Bombyx mori: one gene and its partners. The protein of the gene in region 4 purifies or fractionates together with the protein of the main gene of each other region. This does not show direct contact. Links are inferred from orthologs where the notes say so. Each region holds a gene or a part of one and is shown on either strand. Other genes may lie near its edges.

What was found. Proteins that work in one complex are often made in the same cells at the same time.
Region 1: the proteins of ribonucleic acid binding protein S1 (region 4) and ATP-dependent RNA helicase abstrakt purify together in Homo sapiens (co-immunoprecipitation; 3 studies listed by BioGRID and IntAct, with this or other methods). This does not show direct contact. The link is inferred for Bombyx mori from reciprocal best matches to the Homo sapiens genes RNPS1 and DDX41.
Region 2: the proteins of ribonucleic acid binding protein S1 (region 4) and regulator of nonsense transcripts 2 purify together in Homo sapiens (co-immunoprecipitation; 5 studies listed by BioGRID and IntAct, with this or other methods). This does not show direct contact. The link is inferred for Bombyx mori from reciprocal best matches to the Homo sapiens genes RNPS1 and UPF2.
Region 3: the proteins of ribonucleic acid binding protein S1 (region 4) and serine/arginine repetitive matrix protein 1 purify together in Homo sapiens (co-immunoprecipitation; 4 studies listed by BioGRID and IntAct, with this or other methods). This does not show direct contact. The link is inferred for Bombyx mori from reciprocal best matches to the Homo sapiens genes RNPS1 and SRRM1.
Region 5: the proteins of ribonucleic acid binding protein S1 (region 4) and E3 ubiquitin-protein ligase RBBP6 purify together in Homo sapiens (co-immunoprecipitation; 3 studies listed by BioGRID and IntAct, with this or other methods). This does not show direct contact. The link is inferred for Bombyx mori from reciprocal best matches to the Homo sapiens genes RNPS1 and RBBP6.

What each region holds. Positions count from the first base shown.
Region 1 is NC_085117.1:2,828,255-2,831,754, forward strand, and holds part of ATP-dependent RNA helicase abstrakt, read left to right. Parts: intron 1-403; coding exon 404-540; intron 541-1,380; coding exon 1,381-1,478; intron 1,479-2,583; coding exon 2,584-2,747; intron 2,748-3,500. UniProt on the Homo sapiens protein: Multifunctional protein that participates in many aspects of cellular RNA metabolism. Plays pivotal roles in innate immune sensing and hematopoietic homeostasis.
Region 2 is NC_085110.1:14,017,255-14,020,754, reverse strand, and holds part of regulator of nonsense transcripts 2, read left to right. Parts: coding exon 1-250; intron 251-984; coding exon 985-1,130; intron 1,131-3,500. UniProt on the Homo sapiens protein: Involved in nonsense-mediated decay (NMD) of mRNAs containing premature stop codons by associating with the nuclear exon junction complex (EJC).
Region 3 is NC_085128.1:8,268,453-8,271,827, forward strand, and holds the end of serine/arginine repetitive matrix protein 1, read left to right. Parts: intron 1-910; coding exon 911-1,039; intron 1,040-1,158; coding exon 1,159-1,274; intron 1,275-1,378; coding exon 1,379-2,730; 3' UTR 2,731-2,875; downstream 2,876-3,375. UniProt on the Homo sapiens protein: Part of pre- and post-splicing multiprotein mRNP complexes. As a component of the minor spliceosome, involved in the splicing of U12-type introns in pre-mRNAs. Involved in numerous pre-mRNA processing events.
Region 4 is NC_085114.1:7,346,608-7,350,673, forward strand, and holds the start of ribonucleic acid binding protein S1, read left to right. Parts: upstream 1-1,266; 5' UTR 1,267-1,436; coding exon 1,437-1,438; intron 1,439-1,523; coding exon 1,524-1,634; intron 1,635-1,900; coding exon 1,901-2,035; intron 2,036-3,279; coding exon 3,280-3,426; intron 3,427-3,520; coding exon 3,521-3,762; intron 3,763-4,066. UniProt on the Homo sapiens protein: Part of pre- and post-splicing multiprotein mRNP complexes. Auxiliary component of the splicing-dependent multiprotein exon junction complex (EJC) deposited at splice junction on mRNAs.
Region 5 is NC_085123.1:7,892,376-7,895,875, forward strand, and holds part of E3 ubiquitin-protein ligase RBBP6, read left to right. Parts: intron 1-586; coding exon 587-645; intron 646-725; coding exon 726-815; intron 816-899; coding exon 900-967; intron 968-1,057; coding exon 1,058-1,162; intron 1,163-1,712; coding exon 1,713-1,913; intron 1,914-2,371; coding exon 2,372-2,461; intron 2,462-3,500. UniProt on the Homo sapiens protein: E3 ubiquitin-protein ligase which promotes ubiquitination of YBX1, leading to its degradation by the proteasome.

The DNA.
Region 1 (3,500 bases), on a different chromosome or scaffold from region 4:
GTTTTTAATCGATTAGTTCATGAATTAAATATCTTAATAATTTTTCCTGCATCAGATACATACACTTTTGTGTGTGTGTGTGTATTTTTATTTATTGCTTTGATGGATGGACGAGCTCACAGCCCATCTAATGTGAAATGGGTACTGGAGGCCATAGACATGTACAACGTAAATACGCCACCCACCTTGAGACATGAGTTCTAAAGTCTCAATATAGTTACAACGGCTGCCCCACCCTTCAAACTGCTTCACGGCAGAAATAGGCAGAGCGGTGATACCTACCCGCGCGGACTCAGAAGACGTCCTACCATCAGTGCTTACTCTCCCGACTTCTCGAGAGCCCAATAGTCAATATGCCTACCAGTTGTCTCAGGAGTTCTGAAACACTAATTGTTCCTTCTAGGAATGAGGGTCCCTACGGCCTGATCATCTGTCCCTCGCGCGAGCTCGCCAAGCAGACCCACGACATAATACAACACTTCATCAGGCACCTCAAGCTAACCGGGAGCCCCGAGATCCGCAGCTGCCTCGCCATCGGAGGTACCGCGCCCCAATAGCTGTAATCATATTGGAGACCTTAGAACTTATATCTCACTAATAAAATAAGACCACGCTATATTTATAAACATTAACAAAAGCAAAACATTAACTGTCCCCTTCACACTCATAAGCTAGAGCGCGCGAGAGAGAGAGATGGGCAGACTTTTCATGATGCGCACGCAGTGTGACGTCACGCCGCGCGCTTATTCACAAACACTACACAGGCGCAACGCAAGTCGTCGTGGTCTAACGGATAAGACACCCGGTACATTCGTGTTGAAGCGATGCACCGGTGTTCGAATCCCGCAGGCGGGTACCAATTTTTCTAATGAAATACGTACTCAACAAATGTTCACGATTGACTTCCACGGTGAAGGAATAATATCGTGTAATAAAAGTGAAACCCGCAAAATTATAATTTGCGTAATTACTGGTGGTAGGACCTGTTGTGAGTCCGCGCGGGTAGGTACCACCGCCCTGTCTATTTCTGCCGTGAAGCAGTAATGCGTTTCGGTTTGAAGGGTGGGGCAGCCGTTGTAACTATACTGAGACCTTACAACTTATATCTCAAGGTGGGTGGCGCATTTACGTTGTAGATGTCTATGGGCTCCAGTAACCACTTAACACCAGGTGGGCTGTGAGCTCGTCCACACATCTAAGCAATAAAATAAAATAAAAAAACGTGTGAATGTGTTGAACGCGAGCTACATGTAGGCGGAGTGGGGGTGTTAGGTTTTATTTTCGTTACAGAATTTCTTGATTCGGTCGCCGCGCTCAAAGCTATGCTATTAAAAAGAATGCCCTGATTTAGTATCTTAAGTTAGGAATTTTCGATGGTAGGCGTAGCCGTCTCCGAATGCATGGAGGTGGTCCAGAAAGGCGTTCACATCATGGTGGCAACGCCGGGGAGGCTGATGGATATGCTGGATAAAAAGATGGTAAGACGATCAGGATTTTCTTTTTTTTTTTATCACGAGGAAGTCGCTGGACTCCCACCCTCCACGGGGGATGGCGGGTGGGGCATGTTGGAGTCAAACCGACTTAAACCTCCTGTCGCTCAACAACCCACGTCCGTGCCTCGCATGAGACAGAACTCATGAAAAGGCAAAGGGGAGAGTGAAGCGCTTAGTGCGGAGCACATCTCTCCCATCACCCTCCCCCAAGTCGATCAGGATAGAACTTAATTTTGACTGATCCGGTGGAGCAGCAGTTAACACCCATGACTGCTGTGCCGAGGTTCGCAGGTTCGATTTCCGCTTCAGGCAAATATTTATGTGATAAACAAATTTTTTTGCTCTTTATTTATAATCTATATATATGTATATATTTAAACGTACTAGTGGTGCTTCGGTAGTCCAAATTCGAGTATATTTAATTGAAATTATAAGTTTGAACATTATTGTTATTGGTTCTATTGTCAAAGACTATTTATGCTTCTATAATCATAGATTTCGCCAAGAGTCGCTATAGACAAATAATATTAAAGATAAACAATATTAATTTATTCTCAATTTGATCACAGAATTTAAATAATAAGAAAAGTTTGATAATAAACAAAGCGTTTTGTGTCAAATACATGGTAGTGTGTTTAATGTTTTTTTTTAATTGACTTCATCTATTTTTTATGCAAAATTAAAAAAAAATATTATCATTGTGCATTCCTTCTCTATATTCTCTATAAGCGTGGAAAATATCATACTTGTCCGACCGCGCAATTTTCGTAAAAAGGGTTACAAAGTTTTTGCTTCACGTATTAATATATAGATATATGTATTTATGTAACTATGTATGTATGTAAGTATATGTGTATGTATTTGTAATTTAATATAAATTTCATTGCACCTACCACTATTTACTCTGCACTCCCTTTGGTTGACCAGTAGATAAGGCCTTAGGTATTAAGTCTGCCAATCAAAAATTTACATTAAGTGTAATAAATAAATAAATACATCAGTCTCCGGTACCGATAAAACACAGGGAACCCTGAATTTGAGGGCCGGATATCCGTGCGTGTTTGGTTCCCAATTATCCGTTTACGTCCAGGTCCGGCTCAACGTCTGCCGGTACCTCTGCATGGACGAAGCTGATCGCATGATCGACATGGGCTTCGAAGAGGACGTGCGAACGATATTCTCTTACTTCGCCGGGCAGAGACAGACGTTACTGTTCAGCGCCACTATGCCGAAGAAGATCCAGAACTTTGCTCGGTAGGTCTTTTGTCAACTGAACTTTCAGCCTTTTACTGGTGGCAGGACGTCTTGTGAGTCCGCGCGGGTAGGTACCACCCCCTGTTTCTGCCGTGAAGCAAGAAAGGTGTTGTTTTTCCTACCTATGTTGATAGCCTTGAGAGGCTATTTCAGCTTCGCCCTAACATGTGGGTGAGCTCACGGGGCTCAAACCTGACGATGTTGCTAACACGAACCCTAGCAAGAGCAGTGCTTCGCAGAATCTACCACCGGATCGGAAACGCGACCCAGCACAGACATCAAATGGCTGATGAACCACTGTTATCACATGTTTGGACCTCAAGAAACATTACAGCAAACCCTTTACGGTCCAATGTCCTCACGCATTGGACATAGGACCGCCTCATGAAATTCGCTGCTCGCGTTACCGCTTTTTATTGCTTAGATGGGTGGACGAACTCACAGCCCACCTGGTGTTACGTAGTTACTTGAGTCCATAGGCATCTACAACGTAATTGCGCCACCCACCTTGAGATATAAGATCTAAGCTCTCAGTATATTTACAACGCCTGCTCCGACCTTCAATCCGAAACGCATTACTGCTTTACGGCAGAAATAGGTGGTGGTACCTGGGTAGCGCGCGGACTCACAAGACATCCTACCACCAGTAATTACGCAAATTATAACTTTTGCGAGTAAAATTGTGCGTCCCATTTATATTGTTTAATAATTAAAACACCATTCAAACTAGAAAGCGTGATCACTTCGCAGTAC
Region 2 (3,500 bases), on a different chromosome or scaffold from region 4:
AACTTATGACAAGCTACTAGTAAATGCACAAAATTTTGCTGAAGTTCTTGGAGAAGATTTGGGTGAAGCTGGTGAACCTCCCACTTTGTCCCTGACTGTTATAGAGACTCAAGGAAGTGTAACCATTGGTGGCAATGAAGACATCACTATGCAAGCCGGTACTGATCCTTGGCAGGACGAAGATTCTAGAACATTCTATACATGCTTGCCTGACTTAAAAGTTTTTATGCCTAACTATCAAATGAAAGAGGTAAAAAATATTCATATAAATTATTATTTTTTCATTAATATCACAGTTGGTTGACTGAGCTCACAGCCTACCAGCCGCTAAGTGATTATCAGAGGTCATAGGTATCATTAAGTGAATTAACATGCACTTTAAGGTCTCAATTCTATAAAAACGGGTGGGGCCACCCTGCAAACTGGAACGCATTACTGCAGAAATAACTCCGGTGGTGATACTTACGTGTGCAGGCACATAAGAAGCGTCGTGTGTGCCTGTGTTATCAGAAAAATCGTACTTTATACTAGCGACCCGCCCTCGCTTCGCTTCGGAAACATTAAATTTTATTATTGATAGGCGAGTCCCGCCATGTTAACCGCGGTTATTGTCTTACCGCGGGTAACGCCGCGGGGTAAAGCTAGTCTAAAAAAAGTAGCCTAAGTTACTCGTTATATCATCAGCTACCTATCAGTGAAAGTCTCGTCAAAATCGGCCCAGCCGTTCCAGAGATTAGCTGGAACAGACAGACAGACAGACAGACAAAAACTGTAAAAAATGTTATTTTGGTGTGTGTACCATATATATATATATTCATATGCATGTAGTAAGTGGTTATTTCAATATTACAAACAGACACTCCAATTTTATGTATCTGTATAAATTTATTTATTTTACGTATTTGAAATATTTATCATTGCCAATATAATTGGCGGTATTGTAAATGGGAACCACATTATAAATTAAAATGTACATTATAAAAGCAGACTGTGAAAAGCAAAACTGAAACGGTAACAGAAGAAATGTTAGATGAAGATTTGAAGGAGGATGAATTAAGTGACAATGAGGACCCATCTGTAGTTCAAGAAGTAGAAACTGAAGAAATACAACCACCAAATGTTTCCAATAAGTATGTTTATTGTTTTTTTTTCCAATATACAGAAACAAGCTAAATTAAAGAAAGGCTTGTATAAAAAAAATGCTTACATTAGAAATCATTGATTGTAAGACTCACTCCTCTCTCCTAATATTAGATCCATTTACTTTTAACAAACTAAAAGCATAGTGAAAATAAGAAATGTCTATGTCAAACATGGTAACATAGGTGATGAAAAGGAACAATAGAATATTTAAATACTTACATTTCGCTCCAATCTTGAAATCAATTAGCACTAGAAGCCACACCGGAGGGCAAGAAAATTGCCTCATGTCTCCGCACCGTGTGCGGCCTATCGGGGGTCACCGTAGAGGCCCCCTACAAACGCGGCACTCCCGGGCAGTGCCACCGTTGCCAGTTATATGGCCACTCCGCGCGTAACTGCAACGCGCGACCGCGTTGCGTGAAATGTTTAGACGATCACGCGACCACCGATTGCTCGCGCGTGAAGGAGACAGCGACGGAGCCGCCGAGCTGTGTACTCTGCCGCAAGCAGGGACACACGGCCAACTACCGTGGATGCCCCAAGGCTCCACGGAAGCGCCCGGCAAACGCGCCCCCTAAAACCGCTGGCCCAAAGACTTCGGCGCCCCGCGCGCCGAAACCGGCTTTCGTACCGGCTCCGGTGCCCACCGTCTCCGCGTGGGCGAAACCGTTGCCGTTCACGAAGGCAGGAACGACACCGGCACCCCAACCGCGGTACGCGCCGCAACCTCTACTCGCGCCGCGCCCCGCCCCCGCGCCCGCGCCCGGTCCCGCGCCTCGCCCCGGCCCCGCGCACTCAAACGATTTTACAATTATTCGCGACTACATCGCCGCGATAAACATCGACCGCATGCGTGCGTTCGCCGACGCCATGCGCAGAGCGGTCACGGCCGAAGACCGCCTAAACGCGACGTTCGAGTACATCGACGTCATCGAGTCCGTCCAGCGCACGCTGGTTTGATTACCGGTAATCAATGGCGTGCAACAGTAGGGAAAAACCGCGTTCCATAAAGTTAGCATTTTATAATGCTAACGGACTCGCGCGTCAGCGCGATCAAGTATATGAGTTTCTCCGCGATAATCTCATCGACATCCTTCTGGTGCAGGAGACCTTCCTAAAGCCCTCGCGTCGCGACCCCAAAGTCGCGAATTACGTCATGGTTAGGAATGACAGACTCTCCGCCCGCAAGGGCGGGACTGTCATTTACTATAGGAGGGCCCTGCACTGCGTCCCTCTCGATACTCCCTCGCTCTTACATATCGAGGCGTCAGTGTGCCGCATCGCGCTGACGGGACACCAGCCGATCGTCATCGCATCCGTTTATCTCCCCCCTGACAAACCCCTCCTGAGCAGTGACCTCGAGACACTGTTCGGTATGGGGGACGCGGTCATCCTGGCAGGCGATTTAAATTGCCACCACACTAGGTGGAACTGCCATCGCACGAATGTGAACGGTAGGCGTCTCGACGCGTTCATAGACAACCTCACATTCGAAGTATTCAACCCCCCGACCCCCACGTGCTATCCGTACAACGCCGCGCGTCGTCCGAGCACAATAGATCTGGCACTACTGAGGAACGTAACTCTGCGCTTACGCTCCATCGAGGCAATGTCAGAACTCGACTCAGACCACCGACCTGTCGTCATGCAGCTCGGTCGCCCACTCAACCGCGAACCAGATACGAGGACCATGGTGGATTGGAAGAAGCTGGGCACGTGCTTAGCTGACACCGCTCCACCAATCCTCCCTTGCGGCCCGGATTCAACTCCATCCCCCGAGGATACCGTCGAATCCATAAACATCTTCACTGATCACGTCTCGACGGCGATCATAAGATCCTCGAAACAAGTCGATGTGGAGGACTGCTTCCACCGCATCAGACTTTCCCCCGAACTTAGGGACCTCGTTAGAATTAGAAACGCGGCAATCCGGGCCTACGATCGATATCCCACGGATTCAAACCGGACTCGGATGCGTCGCTTACAGCGGGAGGTCAAATCCCGCTTAAGCGACGCCCGAAACGAAAACTGGGATAGTTATTTAGAAGAACTCGCGCACACTCACCAAGCATACTGGCAACTAGCTAGGACCCTCAAGTCCGAAACTATAGCCACTATGCCGCCTCTCGTACGCCCCTCAGGCCAACCACCGGCTTACGATGACGATGACAAGGCAGAGTTGCTGGCCGATGCACTGCAAGAGCAGTGCACCACCAGCACTCAACACGCGGACCCCGAACACACCGAGTTCGTCGACAGGGAGGTCGAGCGCAGAGCTTCCCTGCCGCCCTCGGACGCGTTACCCCCCATTACCACTTCCGAGGTCAAGGAGGCGATCGATAGCCTACAACCACGGA
Region 3 (3,375 bases), on a different chromosome or scaffold from region 4:
TTTTACAATAACCTTACACAGTGCTACTAATAACATTTTAAGTTTCTATTTATAAATAACAATAAAAAAGGATGAGTCTAAATGAAATATTCATCAATGTAACACGCAATTCCTTATGATCAGCATTAAAATTTATGTTCACACGATTTTGATTATTACTAATGTTTGCCCAAGGATTGAAACTTGACCATAGTCACTGAGGCCTCAAAATTTAAATAAGGTATTAAATTTTTGTTGTGTTTTTCATAAACTGTTAATATTAATGTTATATTTAGATTATGAAAGAAGAAAACATATTAAAGATGCAATAATTTGTAAAAAAAACGTGCACTGTTTTTCGATTTCTTAAACGAATGCTGTACTGGTATATGTAAGTAAGCAAAGTAATCGTATCATAAAAGGTATTCATTACATAGATATTAAAACTGAAAATCGGGTAAGAAACGGTTAAACAATTTATTGTGTTTATAAGGCAACCAAATGATTAAAATTAAGACACAAAAAAATAAATAAAAGACAAATAAAGAAATAGTTTATTTGGGAGTGGCGTATGTATGATCAGGCTACACGTCCTATGTTGTAATAAAATACAAAGATACTTCTTCACTAGAACTGACAGTAAAGTTTTCTTATAATTGCAAGTGGGGTCTCAGTTTCGGAAAATAATTTTTAACCACTTAAATAATATAAATCGACGACATTGATGAATATTTAAATTTATGAAATTTAACCTTTTATTGAAGTGCTTATGTTACAAATGAATTGAAAAACAGTTTTTTTTGTAGCATACGAACCAATGAATGTATTTTGATTAGAAACCGTATTTATATGTAGATAATCTGTTTTAAATTTGTAAGGCATCGTGCTTAACGATTCCGTATGATTGAATGCGAGTACGGAACTATTACAGGTCTCGAGACCGTCGCCGCTCCCGTTCACGTCGCAGGTCGCGGTCGAGGCGTCGCTCAGGACGCAGGTCACGCGACCGACGCTCACGTGATCGCCGCTCCAAAGACCGCCGCTCACGAGATAAGTCCAGGTAAACTATTCCTAATTTTAGTCGCAATACCTTCATTTTAAATTCTAACAAATTACTTGAATGAACTTCCTGTAAAGTATCAAAAAAGGTTGAACTAATTTTATTTGCTTTTTCTACAGAGAGCGGAAATCGCGCGATCGCTCCAGGAGATCCAGGGACAGGAAATCTCGCGATAGAAGGTCTAGCGATATTATCAAGGAGCGTTTAGAGAAATCTGTCTCGATTCCGAGAAAAGGTAATATATATGTTATTTTAGATATAGTGATAAACCCAAATAACATTTATTACTTAAAATAAGAAATGTTCATAATATATTAATTTAATTTTTTTTTTTTATAGAAAATAATGACAAATTACCCAAAAAGCCTGAGCACCTGCCTATTCCGCGTGAGCAATCTAAAGAGCGCATTATATCTAGCACAAGCCGAGAATCATCAGTAGCTGTTGAAAAACCCCCACCAGAACCTTTTAATGACGGAAAAACCCAGTCAGACCACACTGACGACGAAGAGAAAGAAGATATTGTAAATATTCCAAACCTGCGTGAATACTCAAAAAGTCTTTCACGCACTCCATCACCGTTCTTGCGAAGACATGAAATTGACAAAAATAAGAAATCTGATGAAGTTTCGGGAAAAGAGCAGAATGAGGACGAAATAAAAACCAAGGAATCCAAAAGAGCTAAACGTAAAGCCCATCAATCAGATTCTGAAAGTGCGAGTAGCGAGGAGCTATCGAAATCCAAAAGTAAGTCCAAAATCAAGCGTAAGGAGAAGGGTACATCTAAGAGAAATAAGAAACTCAAAAAAGAGAGCTCTTCTAGCGATAGCGATTCTGAGGAATCTTCTTCTAGTGAATCTGAAGAAGATAGGAAGAAGAAAAGCAAAAAGAATGCTAAAAAGAAGTTGGCCAAGAAATCAAGAAAGAAAAGAGCTCGCTCGTCGAGCTCCGACTCCAGTTCGGAAGAAGAAGTTAAACACAAGGCTTCAAAGACAAAACAAAAAAATGTCGTCGACGAATCTGATGTTGATAAGAAGTCTAAAAAACGCGCCAAGGATGCGAGTAGCGAAAGGTCAAGGTCTGAGAAAGTTGAAAACAAGCTCAAGTCCAAAAAAGTCGATTCTGAGGATTCCCAAGATGATAGTTCGGATACTGATGCAAAATCTAAGAAGAAAAACCCTAAACGTGATACTTCTAGTTCAGAAAAAGACCCAAAACGCGGTAAAAAAACTGACTCTATTAAGGAAAAAGCCTTATCACCAGAAGTTGCTAAATTAAAGAAAGTAGAGGATAAACCAGCAAAAGTGAAAGTAGACGATGCTAAACCTAAATCTCGTGACGAAAACGAGAAAAAACCTAAAAAGAGGGAAAAGGAAGAGTCCTCTTCTGAAAGTGACCAGGTGTCAAAGAAGAAAGCAAGGAAGAAGGTAACAGACTCAGAGTCAGATTCAGACAGTGATGAACCTAAGAAATCCAAGAAAAATAAGAAACATAAGAAGCATTCTAAAAAGCATAAGAAACACAAGAAGCATAAGAAATCATCAAAGAAAAAAGAGGATTCTTCTGATAGCGATGAAGCCGAGGAAGAAGAGGAAGAAGGAAAAGTTAATAACGAAGATTTGGAAAAGAAACTGAGAGAGAGAGCATTGAAGTCGATGAAGAAACAAACTAGTGTTTCTGGATCCGATTAGTGTTCGGTTTTTTTTCTATTTGACTTCTAAGAAAAATTTCATTGAACGTACAGCATGTTATTAAAATATTTTAATGAATTTGCTGAAACGATTTTAATTAACATATATTTCATATTGTTAGTAATAATAAATAAAATAATACGAATTCGTTTTATTTATTTAATATAATATATGTAAATACATTAGAGCATCTAATTTTTAATCCCAAATTAACTATCCCTTGCACCTAACCTTTGCAAGCCACTTGTGGTAATTTATATTCATATCTCTTTTGACCTTGGTAACATGATTGGGGGATAAAGACTAAAATACTATCTAATTGGTGTGTTGTGTTTGTACCGTCATCGAACTCCTATTGCTATAAAACTATTTAAACTTTGTAGCCATGTAGTCCCTTGTCCTTGTATTCCTTGATTTATCAGTCCATCAAGATCAAATAGTAGCCATTTATTAAGATATGTAAAAAAATAGAAATCGTAAATATTGGTTGGTGGCTGCGATGAGACGTGGCGGGAGATGCGCCAATCTCGCTAGGTTACAATCTTGCAGAAGTAGATGGAGGGGCCTGACACAGGGTTCTTTTGCGCATCAACCCGTTTCTATCGAGTCATCTATCAAGTCACGATTCTTCCCAATCTTGACTGC
Region 4 (4,066 bases):
TTTTTTTTTTTTTGTCAATGCATTATCGATTGCACCTAAATTCATGCCATCTGCCGTGTACTTTTGTCAGTTTTTCAATGTTTTTATTGATGATCACTTTGTTATTGCAACTAAATAAAATAATTGATTAAAATCAAGGAGTGCAAGCTCTAGCTAATTTCTGGGTAAATAGGGATAGCACCTATTTTTGCTTTCTTAGCTTAAACTCGAATGCTAATTGCATAGCTTTAAATTGGATAACAAAGATACCCCCAAGACTCAATCATTTTGATCCTGATATAGCATTTTAAACATCAACAACTACCTTAAAATTGTTCATCAAGTTGGAATTTGTCCCTAACCACCCCGTTTTACCAGTACATACTGTTCTATGGATTTTTCTATAATTTCTACGGACTTTTTGGCGGGAATGCGAGGAGTGAAGTTGTGTGATTTGTTTTATTTTGTCTATTTAGTGTTTCTTCGGGTTTAAATGTGTAATAATGGTGGTTTATTAACCGTTTAATATCTGTGAAAGTGCACAAATGTGGGAAAATGAAACAAAGCCGCTGGACGTAACTTCTCGGGATCCTCCAAAAAGTCCATTGAAAAAATCTTAGTAAATGACCACCATTTTACTGAGATTAGATTTCATCTCATATCATCTCATTTAATTTCATCCCAGTTGATTAATGTCTCAAATTAATCATTTTCATTTCATTTCACTCCATAATATCATTTTTCATAAAATTAAGAATATACATTAAAATAAGATATGACTTAAAGGTCTCAGTTACCAGGTCATAAAATCTCTAAAAATATAATTTCTACAGGACTTTTTGGCGGGAACGCGAGGAGTGAAGTTGTGTGATTTATTTTATTTTGTCTATTTAATGTTTTTTCGGGTTTAAATGTGTAATAATGGTGGTTTATTAACTGTTTAATATCTTTCATTTTCCCTCATAATATAAATGAGGGAAAATAAAAGAAAGCCGCTGGACGTAACTTCTCAGGATCCTCCAAAAAGTCCACGGAAAAAGTCTTAGTAAATGACCACCATTTTACTGAGATTATATTTCATCCCATATCATCTCATTTCATTTCATTTAATTTCATCCCAGTTGATTGATGTCAATGTCAAATTAATCATCTTCATTTCATTTCACTTCATAATATCATTTTTCATAAAAATATGAATATAAATTAAAATAAGACATGCCTTAAAGGTCTCAGTTACCAGGTCATAAAATCCCTTAAAAACTAAATAATTTCTACACAATCTGTAATTGACAACTGATCTGTATTAACATAGATAATATCTATGCATAGATTATACACTTAATATTATCTATGAACTGATCGTGGTCGGCAAATGACGCTATCGGATTTCGAAGACGACATTGTTTTACTAAGGTTTTACATTCATGAAACGTAAATAAAAACATAGTAGGTTGAAAATGTAAGTGTTTCCTCAACTTATTCTATAAAAATTCTACTATTGTACATTTAGAGAGGCCCGTTAACATGTTTCATTTCAATACCAGGGCTAGAAATAAATCGCCTTTGCCTGCAGCTGAGAAAGAGAAGAAGAAACCCAAAGAAAGCAAGAAAAAGAAAGGTGACTCAGGCTCCAGCAGCAGTGATAGTAGTGGAAGGTATCCCAACTAATGTATTATTAAGATTTGTAACACAATTCTTTGGAGGTTATGTTAAAAGCGGGCTTTCTTTCTTCAACGGAAGTTATAATAAGAAATAGTCAACTTACTATACACTACTAGAAAAACCAAATAGATACAAAAAACCCACGCAAATTGTTAATATCTTGCTGAAGTGATTATTGGTACAAACTAAATAATGAAAGTACATAAGCCTTATCCTGGGAGTTACTTTCTCAACCAATATAATTTAAATCTATTTTCAGTTCATCAAGTAGTTCTTCAAGGTCATCCTCTCGGTCATCATCCAGTAGCTCAGGAAGTTCATCACGTTCATCTTCATCATCCAGCTCATCTAGCAGTAGCAGCAGTAACAATGGCCGTTCAAGGCCTAAGAAAAAGTAAGCTTAAAATTATAAGATAAGGATTAATATAATTATTATTAAACAATCTGCAATTTCTTAAGCCAAAGCGAAGTTTTTATTCAGTACTAGCTGAACCGGCAGACATCGTAAACCAAAATTAGCCAAATCAGTCCAACTGTTCTCGAGTTTTAGCGAGACTAACGAACACCAATTCATTATAGATGTTCATATTTTGTTAAATTTTGATAATATTATGGGGGGCACTCCATACAATCCTGCAATAAGGTTGAAGGTCAGATAGATCTTTAATAAGTTACAGTATATGCTGAGTAGACCATCAAAATGTAGAGCAAATCAGGTTTTTAGAAAAAGCCATCTGCTTTATATGTTAGCTAAATATGTTATGATACATTCTGTACTGAAGGAATAGGGCGTAGTTATAGTTCTTCAATCTCATGTTTCGAGGTGAATGACTGCATCAATATTGTGATATGTAAGGGCTCCATTAACACTAGATGGCCACAATCCTATCCACATCTAATGGAAAAATATTGCACTGGTAGGTTGTTATTGAAACAATCAATAACAATATTGAACAGTAGGTATTTAAACAGTACTTAATTTAACTAAAACAATATTTAATTTTCTATAATTTAGTAGAAATCTGAAAGTGATTACTCCTAAGCCCATAATAGGTCTTCTTTTTTCTACAATATGATATCTGATTCAGGAAATATAATATTCATGTAATAACCTGATATATGAGTCGTCTATTATCAAAGGCGGCAATCTGTGCATTTGGACAAAAAAAAATTATTGATATGTCAATACAGATTGATTTGAATATAATCGTCTTCTTCAAAGAATACGGTTCAAAACCTGCATTAAATAAAGGTTAATACTTAACCTGTTATTTATCTAAGATGTCGATCGGAAGAGTTTTGTGACTGCCAATGGAATACAAAGTCAATAATTTGTTTTCTGATTTACCAATAATTATCCAAAAGTCACATTGCCGGCTTTGATAATAGTTGACTCATATATAGTTTTCTTTATAATGCAGGGACGGAAAGCCACAAGTAAATTATTAATTTATTTCATGATCATTACAGTACTAATTAAAAGAGAAAAAAATACAATCAGAATTGAAACACTATTTGATAAAATAATAATTTGAAGTCAATGAAATTGATCAAAGCTTTTAAAATGTTTTTTTTTTATGTTTGGGCATCATGCATGTTAAGATTGCTAACCTGACCATACATTTTCTTTATTTTTAGAACAATTTCACCAAACAAGAGTCCACTTAAAGATCGTCGTGATGCTGATCGGGAGAAGATTAGAGATAGATCACCAACAGGAGAAAAAAAAAAATCTGTGTTACCTTTATCAAATGACAAAGCTAAAATTAAGGAAAAACAGGAACGGTACAAAACAGTTATTATTTTAAATTATAGCCTTAATACGCCATATTATGGCCCCTGGTAAAATAATAATAAGAATTTCTTTTTTTCTCTTCAGATCTCCAGGACGTAAGAAGCGAGAACGCTCACCACCACCACGACCAACTCGTATCCACATTGGACGACTGACTTTAAATGTAACGCGTGATCACATCCATGAAATATTTTCGACATATGGTACTGTGAAATCAATTGAGTTTCCTATGGACCGACTTCACCCACATAATGGAAGAGGATACGCATATGTTGAGTTTAATAATGCTGATGAAGCAGAAAATGCTATGAAGCACATGGACGGGGGTAACCAACTTAACACTTATCTTTTAACTTTAACCCTTAATATTTTTCTCCCTGTAGGGAAGTTTAATATTAAGTATGTGTTGGGGATGCACTGGAACAAATTCTCTATTTTATGTCTGCAAATTCAAATCTTTACCATGGAGCTTTTGTTGATTTTAATTCTTTATTGGTCACCAAAAAAATTCAGTCTGACTTGCACAAACCGGTAAAGATGTGACGAAAATTAGCATGGCATGGTCGCAAACGGACTACATGGCGGCAGGAGATAACAAATGTCTCCCAGATTCTAGACCTTGGCCCAAGA
Region 5 (3,500 bases), on a different chromosome or scaffold from region 4:
TTGACAACATTGAGGAGATTGACGATTGGTACTTAAACTACCTATTTAGTTTTGCTTGTCAATTCGATATAACAGTCGTAAATCTGCATTGGTGGATTACTCCAGTACGTAAAGCGTAGCCCGGTTTACCAAAATGTCTCCTTTGCGTATATGACTGTAGCATTACGTACAAAACGTTTGGACTACGACGGTGCGCAATTTAGATTAATTTTGTTCGGTCCAAATAAGTCGTAATGTCGTTATATAAAAAAAAAACATAAACAAACAGCAAACAAATGCAAATGCAAGTCATAAAATATATCCCTACCACGAGAGTATTTTCTTGAGCAGTTTAATGTAGCTTTTTAAAGCTAGTAGTAAAGACTTAAATGAAATTTAAAACTACAAACACATTTTTCAATTATTATTTTAAAGCATTGTATCTGTCTTGTCATAGAATAATAATTTATAATGAATAAATGTTAATGGTGTTAGTGCATGAACTTGCGTGTAGAGTTCACCTCACTGTATGTCTTGGTATTTATTGGTTCAATGTTAATGTAATATTTTAATACTCCGTACATAATAGTTTAAAAAATTGTTACAGGCCATCAACCGATGATAAAACCAGTTGTCGAAAATCCAAATTCATCCATACCACTCAATGTAAGTTTAGATACATATGTATGATTTTATTTTTGTTGTGGAATGTTCCAAAACGAATGGTAAATATTTGTTTCTTTCAGTTACCTAGAATTGAAGAACAAAGGGCTAGCACTCCAACAATAGATGAACGAAGAGAACCAATGGAACGAAGAGATCCAATGTCTTCTCAGGTAATTTTTTTTATAAAATTTATGATATACTTGTTAAGTACCAGGTTTCTTATCATTAAATGAAATAAATACTACTTTTGGCAGATTCCGTACAATCGAGGTCCTCACCCGTTCGCTCATGGAGCATCGCAACCACCTCAACGTTTTAACGAGTAAGACTGATTTTCTTGTAATTTCATGATGACATGATTTTGCTCGCTAATTAGATTTAACTATGAATGTTTTTTTTCGTTTGAAACTAGTCCACCGCGATTCGGTCCGCCGCCCGGTCCTGGATTTGTTGAGCGTTTTCCTCCTGAACCGTATCAACCACCTCCACCCGGTATCAAAGAGTCGCCTTCTAACAGGTAAATGTAATCACTTTTTTATATTTGAAGGAATGCAGATATAATTGCATTTAAAAAGAAATTTAATATCCAAGGAAAAATACTGTTTTAACCCTTACACATAATTATAGAATCACAATGTGTTGTGGTGGCATTAGTCAGATCAATAATAAAATATACCAAATTAGCTTCAGTAAATTTATTTTAGGATATTCTATCTGAGTTTTGTTTCTTATTGATATAAATATTTTACATTTATAAAGGGGCCGTTAATATCTAACATCAAATAAAGTCATTTCCAATGTTTAATTCTATTCGATATTTTGGATCTTATCTTTGTTTTCTTCATTTTAGTGTTCAGTTTGCAATTTATTGATTTAAAAGGAGCGTTGTAAATTAGATTATCAATTTTAGTTTCATTTTCGACTTTATAAAATGTTTTTCTCGAAATGGCTCTCCAGAGTATTTTTAGAACAATTAAAAAAAGGGCATGGTCAAGTATTGGTTTAAAAATCCATGGAGAATTGAGTTCGGTTAAGGGCGTTTGTTTAACTCAGACGCATTGTCGTAGGCCGGGTGAGGATCCGCTGGAGGCTTTCAACCGGATGATACGCGAGAAGGAGATGCGAGCCAAGCGGCGTGAGGAGGAGCGGCGCCGCGAGCTGTCTCCGTCTCGCTCTCGCTCCCGTTCTCGCACGCGCACCCGCACGCGCTCACGCACGCCGCGCGTTCGCGCCCGCAGCCGCGCCTCCAGCCGCCCGCGGTACTCTAGGTTCGCTCGCATCTATCGCTCCCTCCCCTCCCGTGAGAACTAAACGAAAACGAACATTTAAACTGACATCTCGTTAACGTCATTGTCACAAGACGAAATATTTCGTTTCGTTCATTTAGTGCCTTTGTAATAAGATGCTTTTTGATTTATGAAATAATATGATTTACTTCTGACCGACCTAAGATTGTCCATAATCGATCGCTTTTTGCATGTCGCTTCTTTGTGTAGATCTAAACTTAGCATGTTCGTCTGAGATTTGCATAATACGTGGGTCGTCGAACTCGTTACCTATTATTCTCTTGTTTTTTTTGTAGTACAGTATCCGATAATCATTATAGTCATAATGGGTTGTGGTTTATTTATGAAGGAAGATTTATTAATAAAATAATGCTTGCTAATATAATTTCAAGTTAGTCTCGTCAAAGTCGAATTAAATTAAATTTACATAAATCTTGTAGGTCGCGTTCGATGTCGCGCGGCCGCTTGCGACGTTCACCGTGGTCGCCAAGAAGACGCCGCACGCGCAGCCGTTCTCTCTCGCTAACGAGGTAAAAATACAAACTATTAACCTGGTGACTGCGTAATAATCTGTGGTAGTTACGACGATATCAGTTAAACTTTTTTATTTTTTTTATTGCTTAGATGGGTGGACGAGCTCACAGCCCACCTGATGTTAAATTGTTACTGGAACCCATAGACATCTACAGCTTAAATGCACCACCCACCTTGAGATATAAGTTCTAAGATCTCAGTATAGTTACAACGGCTGCCTTACCCTTCAGACCGAAACGCATTACTGCTTCACGTCAGAAATAGGCAGGGCGGTGGTACCTACCCGCGCCGACTCACGAGAGGTCCTACCACCAGTAAATTAGTTACTGTTAAAGTGTTAATTGAATCGGTATTAGAAACTCATAGGCAGGGGGCCCTCAAATATACTATTTGTCCGGTAGTATATTACTGAGTGCACGGGCACGCGATCCCGCCTTCCCTGAGCTACTATAGACCACAACCTACTTTCCCGTGGCTACAGTATCCTGTCCTTCCTACTCCTAACTCCCTCTTCTCCTCATCTCCTTAATACCCATCCCTTTACGCGGCTCCCTCCCGCTTAACACACAAAGTCTGACTTGGCGAGGAAGGCAACACAACGCAGATATGCAACGTGACTTGACGGACTCGGCAGGTCAGCAAGGCAAGGTGGATGGCCTAGGGCGATGGTGGAGGGCATATAGTCACCGTCGGCCAGACACAACATCCAACCCCTTCTTCAGTCGTAGCGGTTTCCCGTTCCACTGATCCAAGAAGGGATAGGACGAGGGTGTGCGCCTGCGTGAGCGCAAACGTTTGCGCACCTAAATATATCCTGCGTATCTGACCGCTTCCGTTAATGGACTCCGAATAAGCAAAAGTCCTGTGGCGATGGGTAGAAGTAGAGAGGTCTAGCCTGATGTAAGCTAGGCTTTGTCCGATACCTGCACACAGGCGGTCTCGGGGGTGTGAGTACACACCGTGGTCGTTCTTGCGCTGCGAGTTTGGGGCGACGGCGTGGGTTCGGCAGCACCCGAGATGACAAAGCAGCCCTGT